2 linked regions of the Tribolium castaneum genome follow. Each later gene encodes a partner of the first gene's protein in a complex. Links are inferred from orthologs where the notes say so. Each region holds a gene or a part of one and is shown in the gene's direction. Other genes may lie near its edges. The genes, in order: Ing5 and Eaf6.

Region 1 (3,726 bases):
ATTGTTTTCCTCAGAACTGTATGAATGCGAGATTAGGGCAACAATAAAAAGTTTTGGAAATAGGCGCGATCGAGACATTTTTTCTTATAAATTTCGACTCATTTTTGTGAGAGTGCAGGAAAAATAGTGCATAACAAACACACGACCGCAGAGTTTCATCATGAGTAATCTTTGAAGAGGTAAACGAACTCGCGGATGTAACCTTGACTTTTTCATTCCGTTTACAATTATTTACGACTGTTATCCAAATAATTTTGTCTTTAATCGTTTGGTTTAAATAAAATACAACCCTTATTGTTTTTTTTTTGCTATTTTAACGCTTTCATAAGTTACGAAAAATATCCTTAAGTGAGGAAGTAAGGACAGTTTGTATTATCACAGTGAACAAACTAGAAAAGACTCTAATTTTTTTTAAATTTATAATCGAGTTCGTGTTCTTGGAGGCATTTTACAGGCGATGGCGTCGTAAAATCATGTGAAACACCCTGTCTGTGGGCGGGGCGGGAGCTTAATATTTGGGGCACGTGCCATACACCAAAATGTGTATTAGGATTACAAAAAGTCAAGGTCTTTACATTCTTATGATTCTGCTCCAAAATCCAGTTTTAAATTTGCAATTTTTGGAAGTTGTTTGTAGGCAATCACCTATACAAAGGAAAGTGTTGTGGATTGTCTATCATTTAGTTTAAAATTTTAACAAAGTTTTATCAGTTTTATAATAATTTAAAACCAAAATGTGTGTGGAGGAGCACAAAAAAAGATTTTTACATTTTTGGATAGATCAAATAATCATTGTCCAAAATTGATTTTGAAGTTTTCCAAGTTTCAGAGCAAAAATAATTTCGCTATTGCAGAGGAAATTAAAAAGGTTTTTACATATTTTTCCTCTACATTTTTGTGATCCTGTATCAAATTTCAGTTTAAAATTTTGAAAATTATTTGGAGGCAACCATCTATACAAGGGAAAGTGTTGCGAATTGTCTATCGTTTTTGGGGTTTTTGTCAATTAAAACAACGTGTATTTACTGTTTTCGTATTAGTCTTTGAATATGTGGAGAAACTGTAGTAATAAATCACTAAAAAAAGTTAAATATGTAAGAGAAACACCACATTCAACCACACGATGTAAACCGTTTTCTTCAAGCAACGGGTGGTTCGTCAATCAGTTTAACCATCCTGTAAGTAGATTGCATAAATAACGATTCTGGAGAGACAATTTCCATAACGCGCCGTTCCCATAACGCAGCAAAAAAAGTGAACAAGGTTGCCACGTGGGGACGTTCAAAAAAATAAATCAGCATTTCTCCAGTTATATAAATTGTTTTTGTTATTTATGGGTGAATTGAAGAAATTGAAGTAAGTGTTCGGTAATTTTGTCCTTTTGTTTGGATAATTTTGATTTTTTAAATTTTCTGGAACATAGTGAAATGTGGCGACGCTGGAACGCCGTTGTCAAATCTGACAGCTGTCAGCGTCGTTTTTGTAATGTGTTGTTATTATTAGCGCCAAATAATAGGATTTTTCTTACGAATTTGAAAGTTTTGAAGAGTATTAAGTGCTAACATGACGTCTGCCTTGTATTTGGAGCATTACCTGGACAGTAAGTGTAAATAACGCGTTCAAGAGACACGTAATTGTAAAACTTTCAGGCTTGGAACATTTACCAATCGAGTTGCAAAGAAATTTCACTTTAATGCGGGATTTAGATTCCCGGGCGCAAGGTTTAATGCAAAATATTGACTCTCTATCCGACAATTTTTTGAGAAATCAGAAAACCATTAGTCCAGAGGAGAAGAAGGAACAACTGTTTAAAATCCAATCGTTATTCAACAAAGCAAAAGTAACGCGAGAGTTTAGTTAGTTTATTCATAAACTGTTACCTTTTATAGGAATATGGTGACGATAAAGTCCAGTTGGCAATTCAAACCTATGAACTAGTTGATAAACACATTAGGAGGTTAGACAATGATTTAGCGAGGTTTGAGTCTGAAATTCAAGACAAAGCTCTGAATTCCCGCAACCAGGATGAGCCCTCAGTTGGCAAGAGTAAGAGAATTGCTAAGTGAAATGTATAGTTACTGTAATTATTCCAGAAGGTAGGAAAAAAACCAAAGATGGTAAAACGGAGAAGAAGAAACGTCCTGGTAATTCAAGTGAAGAAGACTCGACGGGAACAGTTCGGGGCACAAAGAAGAAGAAGCAAAAGGGGGCCGGTTCTACTGGAAATAGTGGCAGTACTACAGGCAGTGGCGCCAAAGCTGCCCTAGGTGAGGGTTCGTATCATCTCATTGCCTTTATATCTCACAATACGGAGGCCTAACATACAATAATAAATCAACTGAAATGCCATTATAGGCCTCCGTGTTTACATGACGCATAAATCCATATTTCCTTCGTTTACAGACAGTGTTTGTAATAATTTTATTTTAGCCACTGATTCAGTCTCTGTACTGCCAGGCTTAGCTGGAATCGCACATCCGAGCGACGTTCTGGATATGCCTGTCGATCCAAACGAACCAACATATTGCCTTTGTCATCAAGTATCATACGGAGAAATGATCGGTTGTGATAACCCAGATGTAAGAAATCAAATTCGTTTTGTGTGCAAATTAATTTTTAATAATTTTCAGTGCCCTATTGAATGGTTTCATTTCGCTTGTGTGGGCTTGACAACTAAACCCAAGGGTAAATGGTACTGCCCTAAATGCACACAAGACAGAAAGAAGAAATAATGCATCGATGCGTTAAAAGATTAGACAATTTTTTATTTTAACTTATTCCTTAAGTTTAAACCGTTTGAAAACATGGTTTTGTTACGAAATAGCAATAATGCATTTGTTATTTTATTAAATTTATATCGTGTGAATTATTAAGGAAATAAACGTAATTTAAGCATTTGTTGTTTGTTTATTTATTGGTAAACTATCTTCCCTTTCTTGAAAATCGATGAGTAAAAAAATATTTCGTTATTTGAGTTGAGAATACGGATATCTAAAGGTTAGGAAATGGAACGACGTACGAATTAAACGTTCCCATCCTCGATAGTTCCACTAAAATCGCCAGGGAGCGCAGTTGTTTCATTACTGTATAACAGTTAACATATAGCAAACAAAAAAATAATATAAAAAAATTAATGGAATGGTTGGATTTAAAATAAATTAAAACTTTTTGGCGCTAAGACGACATGACGCTCAAACCAGAGAATACTATATATTTCTTGTCTAATAAAAAAAAGAAAATATACGTAATTTAAGCAACTGGGGTTTCTTCCTTGCTAAATTATTTTTAGTGTCTTGGAAAAAGATGGGTGAAAGAAATTCGCATTATTTATTCTTTATTTGAGTTGAAAAATATCTCTTGTCTAACTAGAAGAAACGATTGAGTGTCTAGCTAAAATAGCGTCTGCATCTGCTTAAAAGCACAGTCTTATATTCGTGATTAACTGATTAAGAACTAACTCTTTCAAAATTCATCGTGAAAGCTTCGCCCGGTGTCAACCATTTTCGATTTTAAAAATAGGTCTGGATGTGCGAGTATTTCATCGAGTGATAACATATTGTCATGATCCCCATCGGCCAACGCTAGAAGGGCTTCAGCTTCGTGTTCACTGTGTCTAGGACTTTGCGGTGCAACGTAATGTAAAAGCTCTCTCCTATCGGCTCGACCGTCTCCGTTCAAATCAACAGATTTGCGAAACTCGGCTCGTCTTTCATTTTCGTCTTGTCT
Region 2 (4,256 bases), about 5.6 Mb from region 1:
TTTGTGGTAATTAATTAGTGGGATTATATGAATAAGAACATCCTGGAAAAGTACTTGATGCACCAACAAGCGATTAATCATTGCACCAATTTTTCCGTTCATTGTTCTTGATTCGTTAAAAAAAGTAAAATATTCCAAAATTGCACAGTTGATTGCCTAATCTCAGACAAATAATACAGGATGTTTCACATAATTTTACGCGACCTGCGCCTCTAAAATGCCACCTACAACACATATTCCGATATACGAACTCGATTACAAATTTTGAAAAACTGGATTGTTTTTTCTTGTTTGTTCACTCCTTCAAAAAATTACGTTTTTAGTCAATTAGTGATTAAGATAAACAGATTACTGTCACGGGTTTCCACAAAATAAATAATCAAATGTGAATTTTTTGTATCTAGTGTTTTGTGACTCTTGAATATTTGGGTGCGTATGTATACATTTGGCGCAGGCCTCGTAAAGTTATGTGAGACACCCTGTATAATTATAATTACTATGGTTATCTAAACAATCAACGGAAAAATAAATTAAATTGAAAGAATTCTTACGATAAATCCATTCCAAAGTAATTCTCTAGATAAATATTTCGCTTCAAAATGCCTTGGAGCAGTTTTGGTTGAGTACTCTTGGTTCAAACCCAAACACCTTTCTATCAATAACGGTTTAACCCCACGTCGTAGAAATATGGACATATTGATAAAATTCAATAAAACTAAAACCATGTGTATCTTAAACATAAACGTGTTAACCTTATGCGAGGGCTTCCAGAACTCGAGACGATGTTTAACGTAATCAAAACAGTTCCCAAACAAGTAAAGAATTTTCTTGAAATTCGACATGTTGCTGTACTTTATTGATAAAAGTTGTTGCCCAAAAGTGCTCTCATTGCGACAGACTGAATTTTTCAGAAGCGCTAAACGCACAATTAGGCCCAACTCAGGTTCAATGGGGGCTATATAACCAGGCTAAAATTACACTTTCAGGCAACCAAACCTTAACAAGGGGGCACTTACGGGTAAGAAACGGCTAGTCTCGTGAAGAATTCGCATAAGGGCTTTGTAGATTTCATTATCAAGGAAAATTGCGTTCATTTGGGTGACTCTCAGTAACTTATCGTTGGACATTTTGCACAAGTTTTAGACAAATTGAGCGTTTGGAATGTTGATTTATTGCAACTATTTGTATTTTTGGCACTATTTGTTGTTTTTTAATTATTTCATAATGATCATAACCTCAGAATTTGTGGAACTTTTCGGGTTGTTATGTTGGCAGCGACGTCACGGGTGACGTATTTGACATTTGGCGAAACGTCAAGTTGTGAGGTGTTTTGTTGGAAATAAACAATTTTTAGTGTAATTACTTGAGGCACTTAGCATAAAACAACGACTTTACAAGTGTAACGTTTCCTTTTATCGTTTTGTGATAATAAGAACAATATGTCGGCCAAAAACAATGTTTCGGTGGATGCCCGCCAAGAGTTAGCAGAACTTGTTAAAAGAAAAGCAGAAATTGCGGTAAGAGTTACTTTATAAATGTTGAAGCTTTGTATTAAGAAATGTTTTTCTGTTTGGCTTAAATTCGCGGTCTTTAACCAATTATAGGAGACGTTAGCAAATCTCGAGCGCCAAATTTACGCGTTTGAAGGTTCCTATTTAGAAGACACTCAGTTGTATGGAAATATAATTCGAGGCTGGGATCGGTATTTATCGAGTAACAAAACAACAAACTCTAAGGCTGATAAAAGAAATAGGAAATTTAAAGAAGCCGAACGTCTGTTTTCTAAATCGTCCATAACCTCAATGGCTGTGAGTTGGGACGAGTTTTGTGTATTTTTTTTGTATTTTAATGAACGTTTTACAGGCGGTTAGTGGAATTGTTGACCAAAATCAGGAGAAAAGTAAGAATAGTTATGAAATAAAAAATCATTCATACGTCTAGTTTTTTTTGTATTCGTTTTGTAGCTTTTTTGTAGTGTTTGTGGTAGTTTTGCTGTGAACTTTCTTCTAGATAGATGTTTTCTCTAGTTTGGTCACTGCCTCTTATATGCACTGGAAAAATGAGAGACATTCCAATAGCTCTGTAAATGTTTTACTCTAAAATTATTCAAATTTTGCAAGCAATGAAACAAAATATTACAATAATTTAGAGTTTATTTTCATTGCTTACAACTCCCACAGGGAGTAAATTGGGAGGCATATTGAACATTTTACATTTAGTTTTACTTATTTATTTGTTTTGTTGTTAGTTGTGTCATAAACCCTACAAAAACAATTCACCAACAGTAAAACTTCTATAATCCGAACGAATTCTATTGCAGCAGGTTCTTCGGATTATCGAATTAACTTTTTTCTCTTACTTTAATTGAATAAAAAAAAATAAGTATTTTTATTTAAAAAATTTCATAGGGACATATACCGAGTAGAACAAACAAATATTTTTTTTACTTATTTATTTTATTGTTATTATTTATCATAAACCTCTAATAAATTCGGACTGATATTTTTTGAATTAACTATTCTCTTATTATTAAAACGAATAAAAAGAAACATTTTTTTTAACTTAGAGTGATCCTGTTAAGAGAATTGTAATTTTATATAAAAACTGTTGTTTGCATTGCAACACTTCGTTCAACAGAAAGTTAATTGACAGGTATTTTATTATTACTAATATTATTATTATCACAAAAGATCATAGAGGAGTCCCTGTCGGGACTATTTTGCTTAAAATTAAAATAAAAATAGTGGTGGTAAATACGGTATTTCAATTCCACCCAAAAAGGTTGTCAGTTCTTGATTTAAATCGCAAGATGTTAGGTGCATTTTTTATGACCATTTTATGTAAAACGAACACTAGGACAATCAAATGTTTATATTTTTATTTATATTTCTATTGTTTAGTTTTTCATAAACCATGCCAAAATAATATACAGTAAAATTTTTATAATGCGCACTAATTACTATTGCAAGAGGTTTTTAGAATTACCAAATTAACTTTTTCCTCTTAATTAAAATGATTAAATAAGCAAAAGTAAGTATTTGTATTAAAAGAAAAACAAATATACCTAGTGAGCCTGTTAAAAGCATGTTTCAATTTTATATGTATAACAGGCAGTTACGTTTAGAGACATTTTGAACATATTATTTAAAATTTAAATTTGATTAAAAAAATCAAGTTTCTATTTTTTAATTTTAGTTGTTTTAATGTTATTGTTTGTTTTATCATAAACTATATAAAAATACACTAAAACCTATTATAATTCGAAATACTTACTATTGCAAGAGGTTCTCCAATCGGATGATCGAATTACATTTTTTGTCTTCATTAAAATGAAATAAACAAAATACTCGTAAGTATTTTTATTAAAAAAACAATCAGAGAATTACATATTTTAATCACTATACAAAAATGTTGTAAACGTTGTTCATCTGGAAGTAAATTGAAAGACATTTTGAACATTTTGAGGAACAACGAATAAAAATATTTTTTACTTCTTTAATTGTATATTTTATCGTTAATTATGTCTGCAAGAACATTACACAGTAAAACCATTTTAGTCAGAATTACTATTACAAGGGGTTTTTCTATGTAACTACAGTAGCGAGGGGTGCTTCTTTTAGTGAGTTTTTCTCAATATTTCAGAAACCATTACAGATAATATTACAATATTTGATACAGTTAATAATCTTTATATTCCCAATCGAATTCGAGAATCTAATGTAATAAGAGCTGTCAGGTTGGCATTATCATAAATAGTATTTTTTTTTAATTAAGGTTGGTGTAATTTTTTACCTAGAAAATTCAATTTCCAAATTTTTCAAGTTGTCTCCAATTTACAAGACGTACAACAACACATTTAGTTATTTTAGACCACCTTTAGAGTAACGAATTAACGATTAACACTAACGTCCAATTTTCAAAAATGTCAAATCTGGTGTTCAAACTGTCAAATACAGAATACAGCCAGTTTCTAAAGTGGTTGAACATGAACTTTTAGGGTGTTACAGTCTTTATCAGAATTTTGACACTGACAGTTGATTATACAAAAAAATTAACTATAGAAATTTTGAGCAGGGGCGTTCCAAACTGGAGGGAAGTAGGGTAAAAAATATCCTAACTATGTGGATTTAGTTTTGTAACACATGGGCTTTAAATAAATTCTGTACTAGTTCAGGATTAGTTCTAAAAATCGTTTTTGTTTGAGTTTCAGAATTTGCAAAATAATATTGCATTGAAATTGAAATTGAGGTGTATAC

The links.
Region 2: Ing5 (region 1) and Eaf6 share a complex: the UniProt entries of both Drosophila melanogaster proteins name them as parts of the enok complex. The link is inferred for Tribolium castaneum from reciprocal best matches to the Drosophila melanogaster genes Ing5 and Eaf6.

What each region holds. Positions count from the first base shown.
Region 1 is NC_087398.1:9,636,854-9,640,579, forward strand, and holds Ing5 (inhibitor of growth protein 5), read left to right. Parts: upstream 1-1,274; 5' UTR 1,275-1,563; coding exon 1,564-1,600; intron 1,601-1,649; coding exon 1,650-1,840; intron 1,841-1,889; coding exon 1,890-2,046; intron 2,047-2,093; coding exon 2,094-2,273; intron 2,274-2,430; coding exon 2,431-2,579; intron 2,580-2,630; coding exon 2,631-2,732; 3' UTR 2,733-2,897; downstream 2,898-3,726. Other genes in the region: cuticlin-1, read right to left, coding at 1-78; myd (45 kDa calcium-binding protein), read right to left, coding at 3,463-3,726. UniProt on the Drosophila melanogaster protein: Component of the Enok complex which has a histone H3 acetyltransferase activity.
Region 2 is NC_087398.1:15,239,049-15,243,304, forward strand, and holds the start of Eaf6 (chromatin modification-related protein MEAF6), read left to right. Parts: upstream 1-1,298; 5' UTR 1,299-1,439; coding exon 1,440-1,517; intron 1,518-1,604; coding exon 1,605-1,808; intron 1,809-1,863; coding exon 1,864-1,900; intron 1,901-4,256. Other genes in the region: peroxisome biogenesis factor 2, read right to left, coding at 1-42, 552-968, 1,017-1,127. UniProt on the Drosophila melanogaster protein: Component of the Enok complex which has a histone H3 acetyltransferase activity. Might be involved in transcriptional activation of selected genes.